Arabidopsis thaliana: one gene and its partners. The protein of the gene in region 4 interacts with the protein of the main gene of each other region in a pairwise test. Each region holds a gene or a part of one and is shown on either strand. Other genes may lie near its edges. The genes, in order: AT2G18850, GT-1, WRKY42 and NF-YB7.

Evidence for each region.
Region 1: the proteins of NF-YB7 (region 4) and AT2G18850 interact in a two-hybrid assay, tested with the Arabidopsis thaliana proteins (one large-scale study listed by BioGRID).
Region 2: the proteins of NF-YB7 (region 4) and GT-1 interact in a two-hybrid assay, tested with the Arabidopsis thaliana proteins (one large-scale study listed by BioGRID).
Region 3: the proteins of NF-YB7 (region 4) and WRKY42 interact in a two-hybrid assay, tested with the Arabidopsis thaliana proteins (one large-scale study listed by BioGRID).

What each region holds. Positions count from the first base shown.
Region 1 is NC_003071.7:8,158,648-8,165,149, forward strand, and holds AT2G18850 (SET domain-containing protein), read left to right. Parts: upstream 1-1,952; 5' UTR 1,953-2,140; coding exon 2,141-2,143; intron 2,144-2,259; coding exon 2,260-2,343; intron 2,344-2,533; coding exon 2,534-2,662; intron 2,663-2,731; coding exon 2,732-3,023; intron 3,024-3,105; coding exon 3,106-3,224; intron 3,225-3,310; coding exon 3,311-3,443; intron 3,444-3,529; coding exon 3,530-3,606; intron 3,607-3,693; coding exon 3,694-3,888; intron 3,889-3,973; coding exon 3,974-4,163; intron 4,164-4,242; coding exon 4,243-4,415; intron 4,416-4,507; coding exon 4,508-4,608; intron 4,609-4,696; coding exon 4,697-4,832; 3' UTR 4,833-5,115; downstream 5,116-6,502. Other genes in the region: AT2G18840 (Integral membrane Yip1 family protein), read left to right, coding at 1-150, 777-851, 941-1,201; AT2G18860 (Syntaxin/t-SNARE family protein), read left to right, coding at 5,711-5,793, 5,914-6,004, 6,095-6,502.
Region 2 is NC_003070.9:4,611,753-4,617,373, forward strand, and holds GT-1 (Homeodomain-like superfamily protein), read right to left. Parts: upstream 3,508-5,621; 5' UTR 3,364-3,507; coding exon 2,748-3,363; intron 2,485-2,747; coding exon 2,446-2,484; coding exon of another isoform or gene 2,411-2,445; intron 2,138-2,410; coding exon 2,003-2,137; coding exon of another isoform or gene 1,956-2,002; exon of another isoform or gene 1,765-1,955; coding exon 1,534-1,764; intron 1,447-1,533; coding exon 1,247-1,446; 3' UTR 979-1,246; downstream 1-978. Other genes in the region: AT1G13460 (Protein phosphatase 2A regulatory B subunit family protein), read left to right, coding at 4,752-5,621.
Region 3 is NC_003075.7:2,215,805-2,222,204, reverse strand, and holds WRKY42 (WRKY family transcription factor), read right to left. Parts: upstream 4,164-6,400; 5' UTR 3,827-4,163; coding exon 3,590-3,826; exon of another isoform or gene 3,253-3,589; coding exon 3,154-3,252; intron 2,639-3,153; coding exon 2,492-2,638; intron 2,410-2,491; coding exon 2,023-2,409; intron 1,926-2,022; coding exon 1,812-1,925; intron 1,695-1,811; coding exon 1,092-1,694; 3' UTR 955-1,091; downstream 1-954. UniProt on the Arabidopsis thaliana protein: Transcription factor. Interacts specifically with the W box (5'-(T)TGAC[CT]-3'), a frequently occurring elicitor-responsive cis-acting element. Modulates phosphate homeostasis and Pi translocation by regulating PHO1 expression.
Region 4 is NC_003071.7:5,654,444-5,658,590, forward strand, and holds NF-YB7 (nuclear factor Y, subunit B7), read right to left. Parts: upstream 2,076-4,147; 5' UTR 2,047-2,075; coding exon 1,399-2,046; 3' UTR 948-1,398; downstream 1-947. Other genes in the region: NAD-ME1 (NAD-dependent malic enzyme 1), read left to right, coding at 54-116, 211-325, 586-660.

The DNA of each region.
Region 1 (6,502 bases), 2.5 Mb from region 4:
CGGATCGTGAGTAATTTGAAGCTTGTGGTGTTTCCTAATCCGTATAGGGAAGATCCTGGGAAGGCTCTTAGAGATTGGGATCTTTGGGGTCCGTTTTTCTTCATTGTGTTCTTGGGTCTTACTCTTTCATGGTCAGCTTCCGTCAAGAAGGTTAGCTCTCAGATCAGTAGCTAGTTTCTCTCAGCTTTAAGCTTGTGTGATCTAAATGTGATCTGGAACTTTAGCTTTTAGGTATCTGATAGAGTTCTTTAGAATGTCTCTGTTACAGAAAATGAGTGGGATTAAAGATAGCATTTCACTTCATTGCATTAAGATTGTTCCTTCAATTGTGAATTGTTTGATTATAGATGGAACACGATGACGGGAAACAAGGATTGAGTTACAGAAAATTAGGAGTTTTTAAATGGGAGTGAAGATAGCATTTCCACTTCTTTGCATTAAGATTGTTCTCCAATTGTGATTTTTTAGATTATAGAAGGAACATGATGAAGAAAAATGAGGACTGTTCTTGTGGCATTGCTTCTCACTTGATTCTTAGGCTATAGGTTATATAAAGCTTCTTTCTTGTACAGTGGATCATGTAGGATTTTGACTCACAAAGTAGCACTTTGGATGCACTATTCTGAGTTATTAGCATGTAGGTCTGATTAAAGGATTGAATTTGAATCTGATGTAATTACAGCTTATCTTGCCGATATTGAGTGGCTTTTCATAGAATGCTATCTATTATCTATCAGAATTCGTCTTTGTCTCATACCTTTTCCCTTTGATTCCAGTCCGAGGTATTTGCAGTGGCATTTGCACTATTAGCAGCCGGGGCGGTGATCCTTACACTAAACGTGCTTCTCCTGGTAAACCACCACTGCTCTCTCCTTGTATCTCGTGCAGATGTTTTTCGTTTGATCACATACTTACAACCATTATGTTGTGTCATGAACAGGGTGGACATATAATCTTCTTCCAAAGCTTGAGCCTTCTAGGTTACTGTTTATTTCCGCTAGACGTTGGAGCCGTGATCTGCATGTTGAAAGACAATGTGATACTGAAGATGGTGGTTGTGTCTGTAACCCTTGCCTGGAGCTCATGGGCTGCTTACCCTTTTATGAGCTCAGCGGTTAACCCAAGAAGAAAAGCACTCGCTCTATACCCCGTCTTCCTCATGTATGTGTCAGTCGGTTTTCTCATCATAGCCATCAATTGAATCCCCAATTTTGAGAAGAAAAAGGGAATCATCACAGGTATTCTCAGGAATCAGCTTGGATAGAAATTTTTCATACATACACAAACCATCCTGAGTTCTGATGATCATGTATAAACATGTTTTGTTACCCTTTTTTGTGGGTTTGGTTAAAAAGAAGATCATCATTTGTATGTGCCCCGCTCTATCTGCATTAAGCTTACATTTATCTTTTTGGCCATAAATACAATTTTTTTACCAAACATTACTTCATATGGTTTCTCGAGATAGTATCGACATGCAATTTTGTTGGTCGTCCACCCAACCCTAAACACGTGTTATAGTATTAACATGGAAATGTGGAAACCAGATCACAACCATGCTAAAACAAGGGTTAAATTTTATTTAGTAATCATTAGCATAATCGAATAGATTATGAACATATTTTTGATATATAATAATACCAAATTCAATATTTGCTTTAAATTTATATTTATATTTTGGAATCGCAATAAAAAAATTGTTTACACAATCCATCATTCGTTATTTTCAAAATTATTCTACTTATTTTATTCATTTCAAAATTATTCGAATACATTAATGAACATCATTCATTTTTCAATTTTTTTTTGTTATTCAACTTATTTATTCATTTTTATTTATTTATTCAACTTTTTAATTTTTATTTTGTTGTTAGCTTCCATTTGCATATGCTTCGTATCGTATATCATCACTTCCAGTTTTTTACCGGTTGGGGGGGGGGGGGGGGAAGAAGCAGAGATGATTCGTCAACAAACAAAAACGAATTTATTTTGAACCAAACCGGATGTATATTTTAAACCGAAATCAAACCGGGAAAACCTGTATTGACGAGCCCTCTTCTTCTTCAGCTAGTGAGAGGCTGCCTCACTTGCTTGCTGGTTTGATACTGCCAAGTTTTTCGCTTTCTCAGCTCTTCCTTCGATGGTAATCTTCAAATTCCTTTCCTTTAGACCCTTATTAATCTTATTGCTTTTGTAATAGACTTGGTTTAGTGTGTTTTTTGTCGTAGCGAGTTTAATCTTGTTGCTGGTTATTGTAAGGTTGGTGCTTTGAATATCATGTCAGAGACTGGTGATTTATGTGTAGAACTTCCCAAAGATGATCCCTTTTATCACCACAAAAAGGTTCAATTTCCTAATTTCTCTGCTCTTCTGTTATCTCAATACTCAAAGCCATTAGCTTTTTTTTTGCCTTATAGTCTAAAGATCAGATTTTTCATGTGCCAAAGTCTTAAAATATTACACTGTTTAGTTTTTCTCATGTTTTGTTTGAGTTTTTATGAAAATGAATTTTCTTATGATTTTGTGTCTGTAGAAGTTCTTGAGTTGCAAAGGTTTATGCGTAAAGGAAACATTGAACCTCAGTGGATCATTATCTCAACAACTGTTGAATGCTGCATTGGAAAAGTTGCTTCATTTTGGACGAATAGTTAATCTCGATAAGGTAAGCAAACATCGTAGGCCATTGTAATGCATGTGAAGTTGCTTAGATGATGGATTGAGTGAAATGCAGGTGGAAGTTTACTTTGGTGAGGATGCTTGCACTCCTGCAGGAATTTACAGTGTTAGAAACGAAATCTCAGCTCTCAGCTGGATCCTTTCGCTTATACCGGTTTCTTGTAAGATGCAAACACAAGTTGATACCTTTGAAGCTCTACGAGCTGCTTTAAAAGGTAGAATCAATGAGGTTGTTGGAGCTGAAAAGGAGAAAGCTAGAGTTGTTGATAGCTATAGATGCGAAAAGGAAAGCAAATTAGTAGAATGGGGTCAGGACAATGGAGTCAAAACCAAATTGCAGATAGCTCGTAAGCTTAACGGTTTTTTTCTGTTATGAAGTTATCAACAGAGATTTAAGTTTATGACAATGTGTTTTATAAATTTGGATAGAAATTGATGGCTATGGACGAGGAGCTATAGCTAGCGAAGACTTGAAATTTGGCGATGTTGCTTTAGAGATTCCAGTCTCAAGTATCATTTCGGAGGAGTATGTGTACAACTCCGACATGGTATATCATTTGAGTTCATCCTGATTTAAAGATTGCGTCAGTTTCATCATAGCAATGCTATATGATGAGTGTTCTCTTGTCTTCAGTACCCAATATTGGAGACGTTTGATGGCATTACATCTGAGACAATGCTGCTCTTATGGACCATGAGGGAAAAGCATAACCTGGACTCGAAATTCAAACCATACTTTGACTCTCTGCAAGAGAATTTTTGTACCGGTAAAATTGTTTGGAGAACTAAATATTCAATTCTTGTAGCAGTGTTTGTTTCAAAGAGACAACAAACATTGATTCTCTCATTGCAGGTTTGAGTTTTGGGGTTGATGCAATCATGGAGCTTGATGGTACATTGCTTTTAGATGAAATAATGCAAGCTAAAGAGGTGTGACTTGATCCCATCTCTTATCTTTTGGTTCTGTGATTTGTATTATGTTCTTGATTCCATTGGCAATTGTTTGTATATCTGCAGCTTTTGCGTGAGAGGTATGATGAATTGATTCCTCTTTTATCGAACCACCGGGAAGTATTTCCACCGGAGCTCTATACATGGGAACATTACTTATGGGCTTGTGAGTTGTATTACTCAAATAGCATGCAAATCAAATTCCCAGATGGAAAGCTGAAGACTTGCTTGATTCCTGTCGCCGGTTTTCTCAACCATTCTGTATGTGTCTTCTCTCGTTCTGCCTCTGGTATACTAAGTAATTCCTATCACTATCCGGAATATGATAATTTGGCGGGTTTTGCAGATATACCCACACATAGTGAAATATGGAAAAGTAGACATTGAGACGAGTTCCTTGAAGTTCCCAGTCTCAAGGCCTTGCAACAAAGGGGAACAATGTTTTCTTAGCTACGGAAACTACTCTAGTTCGCATCTGTTAACATTTTACGGATTTCTACCAAAAGGGGATAACCCGTATGATGTCATTCCCTTAGGTAGTTTAACCTTACCTCATTCTGAGATCACTCAGGCTTACATGCTTTTTTTGCTTTAAGTTGTATCTCTTCCTTGCAGATTTTGATGTCATTGATGATGAAGACATCGAGACCGAGTTTTCTTGGACAACTCACATGTTACGCGGGACTTGGCTATCGAGTAATCACAACATCTTCCACTACGGCTTGCCTACTCCATTGTTGAACTACTTGCGCAAAGCTCATGGTCTTGTTCATCATTCTGAAACAGATGTATATATTCTTCATCACCTTCGTATAACTACATCTATATCTCTATGAATCTAACACTTAAGATATTTTTCTCATTTCTTGATTCTTTTAAGTTATGGAAGAACTTGGAAGTTGAGATAGGAGTACTTGAGAATCTCCAATCCACATTCGACGACATGATGCAAAATCTTGGCGATGCAGATTCTATCGACAGGTATCAGTAGTTGTCTTGTCATGATATACAAAAGCTGAAACAGAGTGACCAATTACTTAGTAATCCGTCTGGTTTTACACTTTTACAGAGAAAACGCGGATTGGGATGTTAAACTAGCGATGGAGTTCAAAGAGCGGCAGAGAAAGATTGTCTCATCCATTCTTGATTCATGTTCTGCAGGTATCAAACTAGTTCAAGAATCCATAACTAACCCACCGGTTTAGCTAAGGTAGAATGAGATGAGAACCTGATCTTGGATTCAGCTTATACTGTATTATGAAATGTATCTTCTTGACAAAGTTAAATTGTGTGAGTTAAAAGACTTTAGTTCAATTTTAGTTACATTTTAGTTACATTTTAGTTACATACTTCCTCTGTTTAATCTCATTAGACACCTCTTTTTTTCTTGCTTATATAATTGCTTCATATCCACGTAATCTCATTAGACACCTCTTTATATAATCTCATTAGAATTTATAAATTTATGTACTTACGTACGTACGTACGTGTGCGACTAACCCTAGACAAATTAACCGAATACTCTTTTTTTTGCAAATGCATCACGCATGGTACCCTAATAGTGGTGTCTCCATCATTTGTCATTACTTTCTGAATGCAAAATGAGTAATCAGATTCATTAACATTTGACTAATACTATATTTTCTCATATTTTTTGTGGGCATAGAGAATTATCAGTATTTTGAGCATATTATAAAAGTAATCTCAAATGGGAAACATAACAAATAATAAAAAAGAATGAAAAAGTTGATGTGGCTGCTGGTGGCAGCAAATTGGCGGACCCCATCTTCCAGGTTACATTCTTGTCGTTTTCCAGCTTCTTAACACAGAGCTATAATCTCATGCACCAAAGAGCATACTAATATCCTATGTCTCCGAGTAATAATCAGCCACGTTTCTATAATAGACACAAGTTGGTGTGACACTGACAAGAAAATAAATAAGATTTATAGAAAGTGGGAACAGAACACAAAAAAAAAGCTGAAACAAAGAGTTCGAGAAAAATTTCGATTCTCTTGCTCGTAAAAGCTTCTTTTGATTCTCTTTGACTCTGTTTTGTGGATAGCTCCTGAAGAAGAAGAAGATGATGGTAGTGAACAGCTTTGATCTATGGCAAAAAGATGTTTTCTTCTCTGCAGCTGAAGAGGTTCAAAAATCTACAGATATGTATGGTTTCTTGTTAGATTTTGATCTTGTAATCTCTTCTTTGAGCTTAGCTTTTGATCTTGCATAAATTAAGAGATTGAGATGTGTTTAATTTGCTATTGTTCTTTACTTGGATTTTAGAATGGAGTCTGCTTATAGATTGTGGATTAGAGAGAAGAAAGATGAGATTTGTAAGGAACTTCAAGCAGCTTTAGGTACAGCTAAATGGCAGGTACAATAATGTTTCTTGAAACATTTCTGGTTTAGTTGTGTTCTTGTTCTTGTCTAGTTCTTGAAAAGTTTTGAAACTGTGTTGAATCAGTTGGAGGAGTTTGAGAAGGCAGTGAGATTGAGTCATAAACGGTGTGGGGATAATGATTCTTCATCCACACGGCATAAACAGTTTGTTACCGCTATTGAAAACCAGATTCATCGCGTAGAAACTTCTCTGCAAGAAGCTTATAGTGAAAATGGGAAAAAGCCTCTCCGTTGGGTTGATCTTAATGAAGAAGAGCGTGATGACTTAGCAATGTTTCTCTCTGGATCTTCTCGAACTTCACAGAGTTTTAGTGGTGAGAGCAGCATCAAGTCGAGAGAGTCTACTAATAGTTCTCTAGTTGAAAACGTTATGGAAGTTTCAGCTAAAGTAACATTCAAGAAAGCTAAAGTTTATGGTGATGGCTCTGAGTGTGTCATAGACATTGAAGAAAGAGTGACACCTGGCCAAGCA
Region 2 (5,621 bases), on a different chromosome or scaffold from region 4:
GTCAAGTGTCAGCCATTCTCTTCGACTGAATAAGTTCTATGATTTAAAAACGATTTTCTAATTCGTTTTTCTTTGTAAAATCAATTTACTTTGGTTTGTACTTTGTAGTAAAAAACCAAATTTATTTTTGCTGAAAACCATATTTGAGAATTTTATAACATAACGTACATGTATTTTTTTCATTATCTGAATTATTTGTAGTGATTTTGTGGAATTTTCATATGTTATTTCTGATCTTATCCCTTTTATTTTGAAGTGTCATTATTCACAATGTTCTAAAGTAATCGTGAAGTGAAAAGAACCACAATATATCATTATCAAAGTATATGTTAAAATTCGATTCTAAGAGAAAGAAAAAAAAAGATAGAAAGAAAGATGCAATAATTGATGCAAACCTTCTCGACAAAAACAATTATTGACGCAAAACTTTAACTATTGGAATCTTATCCTGATGATCTGCTTATAACCAATGTTATTCCACTTACGTGATATTTAAGATCTAGAAGTTGGTTTATTTATGCATAAACATTTCAATTAACTCAGTTTCATTTGTATGTTTGTGATGTTTATGCTGTCTTGATTCTGTCTTCCTCCTTTTCACGCTGTCTCAAAGGAGAAAAGTAATAAGGAGATCACGAGGGAGATTCAAGCTATAATGAGACAAGTTGCTTCCAGCATAACTTGCTTGCCTTGTCTCCATGAAACATGTAAGAGAGAGAGACATTAATCGGCTTGGCGGTTGGATAAGGTGTGTTTGTTGTGTTGGGAGCATTTACTGATACCGATGTGGCTGTACCGTTCACCTGGATCAAGAGAGTGGTTGAATTACATTCTTTGATACTAGTGTTTGTTAATCAAATCATTATAGTGTTTTCTCAGTAGTATAAGTTCAGAAAGTTTCTCTGGCTTTGCAGATTGACAAGGTCGAACACACTCATTTCATACAAGAACAATAAAAGGGATGAAGAATGACTCTGATACCACACACAAACACTCGCTCGTCTGATTGTGAACAATTTATTCACTTCTCTTATGTTCTGTTCTTACAAATGTAACAGACCAAAAATCTATTTTGAGGTCTTCTTGGTCTGTACGGTAAATGCCAGTTATGATATTTCATATTTGAGCAAGTACATGAAAAAAAGAAGAAATGTATAAAGAGAATGAGATCATATCTACAGGGGACTGTTTTCTGATCAGATAACTGTTGATAGAATTGGAGAAGAAGTTTTGTGATCTCATTTCCTCATCTCACACCTCGATACACAGCACCAGGTTGAAGATCATCCATGTTTTCTATGTTCCTAAAACCATCAACTTGCAGGCTTGACCATCCCTGTCGAGCCAGAAACTCGCGGTAGTCTTCTTCAGTGTAGAAGATTTTCTCTTCTGAATGGACTGGTAATTGGTTGGATTCATCATAATGGCAAACCCTAATGGCCAGTCCTGCAAGATGGGTTTTGCATACTGACAATTCAGTAAAAAACACACACACAGTTCAAAAGATACGAATAGTGGCAAATTTAATCTTACCATCATCCAGACGGAGTAGATAGTTCCCTAAGGGCATGTCTCGGTCAAGACAGCGAATAATCTGATCTTCATCTTCTAACCAAAAAGCCCTTCGAGTTCTTAACCCAAAAGCAGATCTGATTACCTCTTTGATTGCTTCTGCACTACCATCAACACCGATTCTTCTTGTATAGTCACCAAATTTCACTGTTATGACCCTACCACCAAAAGGCTGACCATGACTATCATCACCTGCTTGTATAAACATGAAACAAATGAAAAGCTCTACTCAGTTATAAAGAGACCGAACGAATAAATCAAGCAGAGGAGCAGAGGCTGTGAAGCAACCTCAAAATGAGAAAACGTGGATTCTTACACATATTACACCATGCTTGGAACATAAACATACAGTTCAAAAAACATATCTTTAGCCTTATAGAAAATTAAACTTTGAGGCTTAAGTTTATATAAGCTTTTTCTGAGGACTTGCCGTTTCCAGGAGTCTCTCTCCAATTCCAAGGAGTAACTCCATTTGCTGCAACAGCATCAACTGCTGTAGTGATTGCAAGAGGATGACCATCATGATCAAGACGCCTTTCAAGGTTTAAGGCTGGCCTGCCATTAGCTGAAACATAGATATATATACACTTTTCAAACATACACACACACACACACATCCTCTAGAAACAAAACTAAACCATCTAACACAGAAACTGCCTGTGAATTCTACGGCACAGTCATGTTTACTATTTGTTTCAGTCCCAAATGTTCACTTCACTAAGCAAGTTCATACCTCTACTATTGCTCACTCAGGGAGATGTTTTCGACCAACTTAAAAGACAACTTCAAGAGGCAGTAGACAAACAAAAGCTCGTCTCTTTGTATACATAGCAAGATACTATAATAAACAAACTAATAGTGATAGATAAGTACCTTCAACGGATCCAAAAGAAATGCTCGTATCATCAAAACCTACAATGAAAGATAAAATTACCACTTAGCCAAAAGAAAATTAAAGGCACAAAATCCACATACGCAGATTCATTTACCAAAACTATCATCTTCTTTAAAGATAACTGAAAAACCACAATAAGAAACCTACTCTAAAATGTAGTATCTTCTCAGCCTAAGATACAGATAAGAATTTTCCCAAATAGTAGCAACAAAAACCATAATCACAGTTACGTTCTCTGAATCCAAATCAAGAAATCTACAATTGATGCCAAAGTTTATACCTTTATCAGTAAATTGCATAAAGGAATCAACTTTGGCTGATGTAGGTGGTGTATTAGGGCTCTTATTATACTGTGGTGGTGTCACTTTTTTGCTCCTCTCTCTAAGAATATCTTCAATCTCTTTGTAATACGACATCTTCGCCGATCCATTTCCTCTATCATGATGCTTAGCTTTCTTAAACTCTTTCAACAGATTCCTCCATTTATCAGTACACATAGTCGGAGATCGATCAAACCCTTTTTCTCTCATCTTAGACGAAATCTGTTCCCAGAGATGTTTATTAGATTTGGATGTATTGAATAAACCATCCATACCTCTACGGAACATGATTAAGCTACGAGTTTCGTCTTGAACCCATGTCTCCGCTCGTTTCTTTGGTGCTTTAACTTCGTGATCTTCTCCACTGCTTTCTCCGAGGAGAATCTGTTGTTGTGGCTGAGATTGGTGGAGATGATGATTGTGGTGATTGTGGTGGTGGTGAGATTGTAGATCTACTGATTCGTTGGTAGTGGTGAGTACATCGATCATCATATCGCGTGTGGTGCTGGTGGTGGAGGAATTGTGATGATCGTCTTTGTAGAAATCAGTAGGACGAGATTTGTCGGAAATGAACATTGCTGTGTTTCCCGGACAGAATGGATACGATGTTCCTTTGTTCCCACCACCGTCAACACAAAAGCCCCCTCAGAACAAAATGAAAAAAAAGGTTTTAACTTTAAGTTAGGTTTTCTCTATCTTAGTCTAGAGATTTGGTTTTGGATAAGGATAATTACAAATTTAAAGTTTTGGTTATATAAATTGGTTTGAATGTTTTTGCCATATAAACTTTGTAATGTCAATCTGTTATTGCAAATATTAGCATGTGATGTTTGTATCTTGATGCATCAAACTTCATCACCTTGGCATCTGATATATAACTTACATCTTGTGTGCATCCATAAGACCAAATGCATCAAAGATTCGAAGGGAGAAAATGTCAAAAAAGAAATGAGACACTCTTCTTTGGAACAAAACAATAACTAAAACCATAAACCGAAATTAAGTTTGTATTAAACACAAGAAAGATTGAACCGAAAAACCAAACCAATATAACCGATTTTATTACATACATTCAAAACTATGTCGTATAATAGTGTTACGGTCGGCAATTAAAATCTGGAATTTTAAAACATTTTGAAGTGTTGTCAGCTTGAAAATTCTGTAAAAATTACTAATTCAAGTGAGGGAGGAGTGGACCTGGCAGGCCAGACCGAACACACACACAAAAAAAAACAATATTAAAATAAAGGGGAATAAAAAAACAATTAAAATTAAATTAAAATAGAATTGAGAAAAAAAAGTTTGATCAGCCATCGGAGGAGAAGAGAGAATGATAGATAACTGGATCACGAGAAGTCACAAATCTCAAAGAAGAAGAAAGAAAACCAAAATCAAGAACAATAACAACAATTCGCAATGATTTGAGCCAAATCTAAAGGGTACAAATTCTTAATTTCAAAGTCAATCAACAACATCGAAGGAGGTTTTTTTTTGGAAGAAGAACTTGAATGTGAATTTTTGTAAGCTTTTTTTATTTCATTATTCATCGTTTTTTTTTTCCTACTTTTGACCTTTGTTTTGTGCAATCGGAGGTGTTGTAATGTGCGATTTCTCTTGATTTTTGATTTTGTGATTGCGTTTGTTTCAGAATCAGAATCGAAAGTTTCGATTTTTATGGTTTGTAGTGGTGATTTTTTTCTGTTTCTGAGTTTCGTGAGTGAATAAAGAAGAAGAAAAAATGGTTTTGTTGTAATAAATTTGGTAAATTTTGGGATTTATCTCCATTTCAGGTTCTTGATATAACTAACTTTGTGTGTGTTTTAGTATCATATCTTCAATATTTCAGGTTCTTAATCTGTTTTTCTTGTTTTTTTGTTCTGTTATTCAGATGGAGTTGATGAAATTGTTCTTCTAGATGTTTGTTTTGGGGATATGAACAAAGAAGAATCTGAGTTTAATACACTATGTGGAAACAGATTCTGAGTAAGCTTCCTAAGAAGTCTTCTTCTAAGAACCATTCTTCTTCATCTAGTTCCACTTCAAAAAGTAGTGATAATGGCGCCAGTAAATCGGGTAATTCTCAAACCCAGAACGCTCCTCCTGTAAAACCTTCTGCTGATTCAGGGTTTAAAGAAGGGAATTTGAAAGGAAATGGTAACGGTTTCACTCCATATGAAGCATTGCCAGGTTTCAAAGATGTTCCTAATGCAGAGAAACAGAACTTGTTTGTGAGAAAACTCAGCTTGTGCTGTGTTGTTTTCGATTTCTCGGATCCAACGAAGAACGTTAAGGAAAAGGATATTAAGCGGCAGACATTGCTTGAGCTTGTGGATTATGTAGCTTCTCCTAATGGAAAGTTTAGTGAAACTGTGATTCAAGAAGTGGTTAGAATGGTTTCTGTTAACATATTCAGAACCTTGAATCCTCAACCGCGCGAGAATAAAGTTATTGATGCGTTAGACTTGGAGGAAGAAGAGCCTTCTATGGATCCTACTTGGCCTCACTTGCAGCTTGTCTATGAAATTCTCCTGCGGCTTATTGCTTCACCAGAGACAGACACCAAGCTGGCTAAGAAATACATTGACCAATCTTTTGTCTCAAGGTTACTTGATTTATTTGATTCAGAGGATCCTAGAGAAAGAGATTGTCTTAAGACCGTTCTACATCGCATCTACGGTAAATTTATGGTTCATCGTCCTTTCATAAGGAAATCCATTAATAACATTTTCTATCGGTTTGTTTTCGAGACTGAGAAACACAATGGGATTGCTGAGTTTCTAGAGATTTTGGGAAGTATCATCAATGGATTTGCTCTGCCGCTTAAAGACGAGCAT
Region 3 (6,400 bases), on a different chromosome or scaffold from region 4:
TTTTAGAGTTAAATGTCCAAATATGTAAAAACCTCTGCTTAATTTACCGTTCACTATTAAGGATAAGTATCTATTGCAGACTAAAAATTTTCATACTAGTACACACTTAGCATAAAATTTGATACCATTATAAATTAACTGTTAGTCTGACTTTTTTTCATTCTACTCTCCAAAAACTCCATATCATCATATATAAACTTTATACCAACATATTGTTTGCTCCATATATACTATATTCCGACATTTTTCTTATTAAAATATTGATATGCGCATTGTCCAATCCACGTCATATGGACCCATTCAAAGCCATAGTATAATTTATTTTATAATACAAATGTAGATATCCTAGTTTCTCAACTATGTTTCTATTTGCGTATGCGGGAACATTCTTCACTTTCTCAAAATCCAGTCTAATTCTGTTTTTTTTTGGATAAAATGTCCAATCTTTCACTTAAATTATATATTTAACCAACCTTTAAAATAATGCCACACTTGACAAGTGACATATCGATTTAGTCTGGTCATCAACTTTTCACAAGCCAAACTCTTGAGGTCAGCATCGACTAATTTTAGAGTGAGTAAGTACGTTAATAGCAGTTCCATATATCCACCACAAATAAAACATCGTACCGATGTTCAGAGTCTAAGTGTTTGGGCTCCCTAAAGCAAAAAATATTATTGACCCACCAATAAAATATTACACAAACGGCTACACTGTAAGGAGATTTCTTAAATTTGATGCCCTAAAATCATAATATATTTATAATGCCTAAAGCATTTGCTTGTTGAGCTTCCGTTTTAGGCACAATACATCGAGTTTGATCATAATTAATGGCACATAGATGCGCATTTGATGACTTCATAAGAATTAATAGCTTCTGGAAAAATTAAGCAATTTTATATTTCTGAACACAATTGTCGATCATACAGAAGGAAAAGAGGGGGGGGGGGGGGAATTGCTCTCAATACTTGTTGTTTGGGAAAGAAAAGAAAAAACAAAAAAAAGCCGTAACTAAAAAATAATGTAATAAAAGAAAAACAAAACAAAATCGACCGATAAAAAGTCCCTAACTAAAACTTATAAAAAAATGTTATTGCCTATTGTCAACGTTGCTCGTTGTAACATTACTGTTATTGTTGTTCCCATTCTGCTGATTGTTCGAACCGTTGATAATCGAAGTTATGGCTGCAGCTAGAGCCGCGGCAAAGTTGGGATTGGAGGCGATTGCGGCAGTAGCGGCGCTAACACTCTCACCAGCGTTTAGCGGCTGAGACGGCATATGTAAACCCGAAAACTTAGACTGTTGGTTGTAGTACAAAGCCTGACCCATCATATGAGGCAAAACCGATTGGTTCAACTCCACCAAACCAGACCGTTGAGAGAATTGCATCAGCGGGTTATTGGTTGGATTGTTCCCGTTGGGTGACTCTGTGAGGTCTAATGTAATGGTTGGGAATGGTGCAGAGGCTGAGATAGTAGCCATGCTTGAGGAACACGGTAATATGGTTCGAGCCAAGAGATTTGTTGGGTTCATTAAACCGTCTTGGTTCGACATGGTGGAGCCTGAGAGAAGCATGCTTGCGGCTGCTGTTGTAGTTGAAGCCATGTTCATAGCCGCAGGAGGTAATGGATGGTTATGGTTTCCTTCGTAGGTTGTTATGAGAATGGTTCTATCTTCCGCGCAACGTTGCACCTGTTAGGTCATCATGAGTTTGTTACAATACATTATTTTTTTTTTCTCTAAATTATTACACTTGATTGATCACCTTCAAACATAATTTTAGATGTGTGAATTGTTTAGGTAACGTACTTGCTTGCGAACAGGACATCCAACAGCCATTGTGCAACGGTAATAAGCTCGAGGGCACGGGTTTCCTTTCGCCATTTTTTGTCCGTATTTTCTCCATTGACATCCATCGCTTAACTGTAAAACAATGTCATTGATGTTAATGAACCTCCAAAAACATTTGTAGAGATCAATCTTCATAGAAATTCTAGAGAGGAAGATTAATTAGTATTACCATGGGAGCTTCGGATCGAGCACGAACCGAGACACGGGCTTTACGCATGGTGGCTTCGGCGGCCGCTTGCTCAATGACCTTGCTACTTGCATTTTCACTGCCATTGCCACCGCAAATGCTGGATGATGCATGGTGTTTAGGAACTTTGTTAGGGTTTCTCCAGCCGTTGGATTCGGTTTCCGGGCTTTCTTCTCTTACAAGCACTCTCTTTCCGTTTTGACGTGAGCTAGATTTCTCTAGAAGCGAGGGAGGAGATCCCGACCGAACCGTCGTCCTCTCCTCGGACGACACTTCGTCAGAATGCGGTCCCAAATCGATGAACTGTCTTGGAACCATTTCAGGCACTTCATGTCGGTTCTTTACATTGTCATTGTTCTCGGTCGTAGCCTGATGAAAAACAAGGGTATAAAATCTTTAACTAATTATATGAAATAAATGATTAAGACGTATTAGAGTGTTAATTAATTACTAGGTGATGATGATCTTCTTGTTGCCTCATGACAGCAACAAGTTGCATCTGCAAGGAATTGAAGTTGTTGGTTGTTTGACTTAGCATTTGCTTTAGTCTTTGATTATCTTCACTCGCCTTCTTTAGCTCTTCGCGAAGTTGTGCATTCTTCATTTTATTAAAAAACAAAAAAATCATGTATCAGACATTAAATCATTCTAGTAAGAAAGAGTAAATCTCTCTAACATGTCCGGATCTTACGGACCGATACGAACAACATATAAAAATAGAATGTCTAAGTCTACGAAAACGGTATATTTTTACTAATTCTTAAGAAATAAAAAATTTGTAGAGAAAATCAGAAAATATCTTTTTATGCTTAATTATGTGACAAAATGAAGATGAACAGTAAAAATAATCAAAATTTAGCATAAAAATATTTTTATTTTTTTTGTCATCAGATATTATTTAAAATTCTGACGAATCAGAAAAGCGGAAAATTGTTTACGTACGTAACAGACGCACAAAAATATACACTCTTGATGGTTTTTGACAATCATTTTTTATTTGTTGGATTTTGACAATCTCTTTTTCTTTGGTTCGTGCGATAAATACACTAGTTGTGTCTTTTTTTTGTTATTATTACTCAAAAATGATCTATACTAATTGAATAATAAGTGTACCTCACACTTTGTACGTTTCTCTTCCATATCCACAGACAATCCATCATCCACCATTGACTCGTCGCTTCCCGTATTCGCAGTGAGAAGATTAAGTCCAATCTATTTACAATAATCATACACATTTCAATGAACAAAGTTTTCATCTATATAACGAAATTATTGTTTTATAATATTACTAACTAAAATCCGAAGTAATTAAATGATATTGACGAAAAGGAAAACAATGAAGTAACCAACGAGCTGTTGGTCCAGTGGTAAATTTCTCATGTGGATGTACTGGGTTTGATGCACGTTGGGAACGATCTCTTCTCCAAAAAAAATGAATTTAATCTAATGTGGGTTTCGCATATCGGAAATGTAGAATTTTTAGCTTGAACTTCTAGATAATAAAAAAAAAACAAAGAAAACAAAAGCGATGAGTTAACCATCTGCTTACATTGATGTGATCAGTAGAACGATCGTCATGATCATCAACACGTGAATTCTCCCTTTTGACATGAACCCTATGAGTCTCATCGGCGATAATGTTTTGTTCTTCACGTGAAACCCTATCTCTCTTCTCCGCTGATCGGAAAAAGTCAACCTCATTCACCACCGCACGTTGATGCTGCTCATCTGATGGCTTCAGATTCTCACGTGGACCTCCTCCAAGACTTACCGGAAAACGAAACATCTCTATAAATGTAGATATCTTAAGATCTTGATAGATATCTTAGATTGTTTTTTTTTTTTGTTACAAAAGTATGAATGAGTACGTACGGATGATGATTTGCTTGATGTTAAAATTTGATATCCAAATTTCCGAAACCCTAGTAACCAAAAAAAGGATATGTTACGTATCTAATCCTTTATATCTAGAGTGTGTTTTGTGTGTGAGTGATTGTTCCGTACCATATCTAATCATCCATATATAGAGAGGTGAAGAAGAAGATATCTTAGAAGAGAGAGATATGAGAGATACTTTGTCTAGTATGTGGTTAGAGACGAGGATAGAGAACCAGATGCTTCGGCTACAAAAAGGGTTTTGACGTGGACTCAGATATTGTCAATTTTTTCTACTAATATTATTTATAACTCTCTTTTTTTTTTTAATAAGCAATATTGTTATATAAAGACAATATTGTTGTCTATATTTGTTTTATGTCTGCTTCTACATAATAATATCGGTTTAAATCTTAGATTCTCGTGGAAAGATATTTGTGAAGATTTGTTTTGGTTCGTTTTTCGTCAGTGTCGACGTCATAGACCTATATTATTAACAAACATGTCATTTTTTTGTCCAAAGTTAACAAATATATCATACGACCCAACAATTTGTTTTATATTACAGACGTGTTGTTGGATCAAGCAATTCGAAAAGAGTAAAACTAATCAACTGTTGCTTACGAGAGGGAGTTGTGTGCTTTTTTTTTCTTTTTTTTTTGTCAACGAAGAGGTATGATTTATTAAAGAAGTTGTTTTTTTCCTTAAAGCCACTTCTTGCGGTTTGCTGATATTCTTAAAAAATTAGGTTGATTCTTCTCTTAAAGAATTACTTGACGTATTATGATAGAAAATATAGTAAATTGGAGAAAATGTACCATTAAAATACGTTTTCGTATCCTAGCAAAATTCTATATTTAGTAAGATAAGTTGTTATTGGGTAAATTAGCAAACACGTATTATATATTAAGGTGTAAAGTTTCGTGTTTTCTGATAGTAACACTTACTATCAGATAAATTAACATGTTGTTTGTTTAAATCATACATAAATTAGAATTTTAATAATCATATAATTTGTGTCAACAATGTGGACTATCCACTATAACATAACGAAAACACTAACACAACCTATAACAAAATCCTCGTCAATCAATCATAAAATTATATTTCTATAGACAAAAGTCGGGGTCATTTTAACTAGTTAATGGAAATGCATATGTTTTGATTAATACTTTTTTGTACTCGAGTAAAATTGAATTAATACATGAAAGACTATTGTTTTTGATTAACTGCAATATTTTACTGTTTTAACATGTCATAAGCAAAAGAAATACAAAACGGCACATTTTATTGAAATACAGTGATATCAGATAAATTAACATGTTATTTATTTAAATCACCCTTGAAATTTTTACTAATTTGGGACTAAACTGTAATCATCTAGAAGATTATTTATTCAAAAAAGTCAAAGTCACTTGACTAATATTGGAAAATGGTTAATTACGTACTTCATATACTCTACTAAAAGTTTAATTAGGAAAACAAACAGAGAAAACGAAATTGAATTTTGCGTTTAAGTGACATAATTTGTTTAAACAACAAAAGTTATTTTAACTAATAAACAGATAAAAAGAAATAAAAAGTACTAAATTGGTAAATTATCGTAGTATCATCTAGAATGTTTTTTTTTCTTTAAAGGGTTTAGTTATATATATTGGGATTATATAAATTAATATTGACCAATCTATTCTACTGAAAAATCTCACCGAAGAATATTTTTTCTAAAAAAAGCACTCTAATCTACGAAATGTTTTCAAAGACTTTGTCCTAATTAGTAAAACTTTGAATCCTTGGTTGATAGTCAAATATAGGAGCTTTAGATAAGAAAAAACTATTTTTAGCATAATTCTCATAATAGATTTTTCTTTTTTTTTGGACTAAATTACTTAAAATTATTTTTCTTTTTCCCTTTTTCTATTAGAAAGACTTTTGACTTGTTCATAGAAAAAATAGATCAGAAAATAGAAATGCATCTCATCACCGTTCGCAATTCAATCGCCGCTTCACACGTGATTGAAATTATTAAAAGCTTTATTTCTATTTAATGCCTATTAAATAAATCACATAGACTCAAACATGTACGAAAATTTTGTGATGATGTGTCTAATGTATCTACAAGCTTAAATAAAGATTTTGTGGTGGTTTTGAAAGATTCATCATATAAATTGAAAGACTAAGGTTTTGAGTTGAGCTAATCTTTTAAAATATTTAATATTTCAAGACACTTACTAATATTAGTTTTGCATAAACTTTTGTTCTCCGTAAAAATTTGATTTCAACAGACAATAGACAATGGTTGAGCTAAGTCAACGAGATTAATGGAATACCTCACACATTACTGACCGGTGACTGGCTGTGAGTCCCACTAAGTTTTCTATAAATAAAAAGTTCCAAATTGGTAAATTATCAAAATATTATATATCATTAATTAGTTTTTAACGTTTGGACTCATTTTTCTTTAAATCCGAGAATTTCGAAATGAATT
Region 4 (4,147 bases):
TCCCGTAATTTATGAATGTGGAATCATGACATTGTTCTGCTAAACTACTGCAGCCTAGCAGCATACATGAGCGAAGAAGAAGTGCTAGAGGGGATTATATACCCTCCAATATCAAGGTAAGAGTAACACAATCAAAGAACATCCTTACTGTTACATAAGAAAATGTTTTGATATAGTTGCTACATTTGGCATGTGGAATTGAAATTTCAGGATACGAGACATAACAAAAAGAATAGCAGCTGCGGTGATTAAGGAAGCGATTGAGGAGGATTTGGTTGAAGGATATAGAGAAATGGACGCTCGAGAGATCCAAAAGCTGGATGAGGTAACAATTCAGCTAATGACTTGCTTTAATATAATCATAAATGATAGAAAAAGAAAAGATGTCAAAACAACATCCCATCTTTCACGTGTTTTGGACTCCTGATCATAAAATCGTATTCTACGAAGAATGTCGATCGGGTTTGATTATATGTAAAGAACAGAAGAGTGTTTACCTGATTTCTCACTTAGAGAAAATAAAGACTAAACCAGAAACTAAGCCTAAATGTTAGTTATGTTGACGCGGTCTTGTGTATTCCGCAGGAGGGGCTGATGGAGTATGTGGAAAACAACATGTGGAATCCAGAGTACCCGACTTTGGTCTACAAGGATGACTAAGTTTGGTTCCCAAAATGAATAAGTCTACTTTCTCTTATTTATATGTAAAAATTTATAATTGGGGTTGCTTTATACCCAATCAAATTCATAGCTACTGCTTTCTCTTGTTCTTATGTAAAAAAAAAAAAAATATATAATTGGGTTGTTTGTTATCCAATCAGATTCATAGCTTCCACTTTCTCTTATTTATATGTAAAAAAGAAGTTATATTCAATCAGATTCATAGCAGCAACATTTTACATACATCGTATTAGAAATGCATTTACTTTTATAACTTATAGTTTCAGGTCAAGATACTAAGAGTAGTGAGTGAGGAACAATTTGAAGTTCTTTAATTCAAGCAATCATCTTTATCAATCATAACATGAGTAAATGAATGAGAAACAATACACCATTCTCTTCCAATTAAGCTATTCTCTACTGGAAACCTTATAAGCTAGACCACTAACTCTCAAACCGTAGGTGGTAAGTATTCTAATCCAATTAGCAGCATGGAATTAGTTTCTACTGTTGTAAATCATGAGAGATTGCTATATTTGCTCGAGACGAACTAATCCGGAAAATATATGAAGACGAATTTCTGTTACACAAAACCATGGGTATACTGAAAATATCAAAATGTACGTGTCTAGTGTCTATATAGCAACAAATATATATAAGCATCAAGATGTACTCACAAAAGGTAAAGAAAAGCATATAATATGTGAAAAGAAAGAAGAAAAAAAGCAAATGTCTCTCTCACCAGTGAATTGAATCAATGTTATTATCATGCTGCTGCGGGAACTGTTTCTGCAATGATTTAGGAGAGAAAGCAATATTGGGAAAAGGTTGATGATCCACTGGTAGGAATGGAGAAGGATGATGATGAGAGATGTAACTAGTACATGACATGTTGTTATTGTTTTGGTCTTGTTCTTGAAACTGATAATTATGATGATTCTGTTGTTGAATCTGCTGTTGTTGTTGTCTTTGTTGTTGTTGTTTTGGGCTGTTAACTTTCTCTCCTTCGGTGTCTCTATATTTGCAGAGGTAGACCTTTAATGGAGCCACGTAGTCTTCGAAACCGAGAGTTGTGATAGCCCAAATGATATCATCTCCATTGATGGTCTTCCTCTTTTCTCTTTGACACTTGTCAGAAGCTTCACCAGTGACGAAACTAATGAACTCCGAGACACATTCTTGAACGGTTTCTTTAGCGTCTTTTGAGATCTTACCGTTACCGGGAAGAACTTTTTTCATGATCCTTCCGACATTCGCAATGGGAAGAAACCGGTCTTGTTCTTTGTTGTTGTTGTTGTTGTTGTTGGTCTTTGAAGAAGGGCTTCCTGGATTTGTTTCAGCTACTCCAGGAGACCCATGATCTTCTTCTGGGCTCTCCTCAGTCATATCTCTATCTCTTTGTTTTTTTTTGTGATTGATGTTAACCACATGTGATCAATCTGATTTTATGGTTAAGCTTAGTGCATGAAACTAGGCAACTTTTCTATTTATGGATACCTTGCCAACCAAATTTGGAACTCCATGCGACTCGCTCCTTTTTTTTTTTTTTTTTTTTTTTCTTTGTTATTTGCCAGATAATAAAGAAAAGTGTAAGAAAATAGCAATCATGTAACATATTGTCATCAAATAGTGTTTTCAATTTATTATTTTCCGTAGTATGTTTATTTAGTATGTAGACAACTATAAATTATCATGTCTCCATAATGCTTTGATTTATTGTATTATAGTAATTTCCTAAACTCTAGCCTGGTAAATATATATGGTGGTTATTTATCCGAGAATATTACACGTAAAGGCACTATTTTGAAACTTTGGCCACAAATAGGCACTTTAAAAGCATTAGTCACTTTAACTCAGTAGAATTACCCCTTTACCCTGAAATCGTTAGTTTAACAAAACCTAACAAATTTAGCCGGTTTTCGGTTTAATTTTTTAATCTCAATCTCTAAACTAAAACCAATTTGTGAGAAACCTCTTTTTCTCACCCAATCCTTCACGACGATTTTACAGTTTCATTTATCTGGGCAGTTAAAATCATCACAACGACGATAACATCATCTCGACTCCGGCGATCATCCCAACGAGTTTTCTACCGGCAAAGTCATTTCCTCGTCCCTCTCCCGTCGTTATCGTCAACAAAGCTTTCAATCGGCCGACATTAATTCGTCCTCTCCCGTCGTCGTCGTCAACACTTGTTCTCCCGTCATGGTCTTCATTTTCTTGTCTCTCAATCGATTCGTCGTCTCCGGCGTGTGCTAGTAACTTCTACTCGGTCCTCAAATGCAAGGTATTAATCTTCTCCAATCATTTTATTTGCTCTAATTATTCAACCGTGTGCTAATTTTATTTATAATATCCAACATTGTGAAGAGCTAATAGGTGAAGACATGAATGCTACGTTAGGTGATATTTCAAAAATGTTAATCACAAGACCTTATCTTCTTACCACAGACTTCGGCTTGCTTATCTCCTCATTGTTGACGGTGTCCTCGTATCCTCAAACCAACCTATTACGTCTACATTAAAATATGTAGAGATGTTGGCAGATTTGGAGAAGTTCCTTAACTGACTGAGGTCTACGTAACTGACTGTCTATACACATGTGGATAAATGGTCAAAGAAACATGGATAATATACTTTGGATTGACGTTTATTGTTCATGTATAAACTTATGTATTAGTATGAAACTATCATGTGAGTCTTTAGATGATCATGGACTGGACTGCTTGGACAATCATTAATGGACAAATATGTCTTTGATTTGCTGCGAATATGTTTATAGCTCGATAAAATTGTATCAACATGTCTATATACATGTGGATAAATGGTCAAAGAAACATGGATAATGTACTTTGGATTGATGTTTATTTGTAAATCTTAATATAAATGTCATCCAGTCATAGTGAATTATCCAATCAGACAAACGAATTAATACAGTTATGTTGTGGATGGATTCATATGGATACATTAACAATTATCTTTATCTTTCAACATGAAAAGCGTTTGATATGGATACATTAACCATATCGATAATCTTATCTCTATATTGCTGTTGAATGTTTTAGTGGTTTGTATCATATTATTTGTTTGTTCCATCCATAACAACATTTTTTCAAGTGCATCTAACATTTGATATCAGTTAACAATGCGAAGAAAAATAAATAATTTTGTGTATTTTGAACTATTGTTTATTTGGTAAATCATTCTAGCTAATTATGTTTACAAATACGTTAAAACTTAATATAAATGTCATCCAGTGATAATGAATTATCCAATCAGACAAACGAATTAATACATTTATATTGTGGATGGATTCTTATGGATACATTATCAATTATCTTTCTCTTTTACCATGAAAGACAAATCTAAAATTCCTTCTACCGGAAATATTGAGATACTGTTGTATAGCGGGAATATTCCCACCATCAGGTTTTAAACTATATTGTTTACAATATGATCAAAAAAAAAAAACATATGCACACTTAGA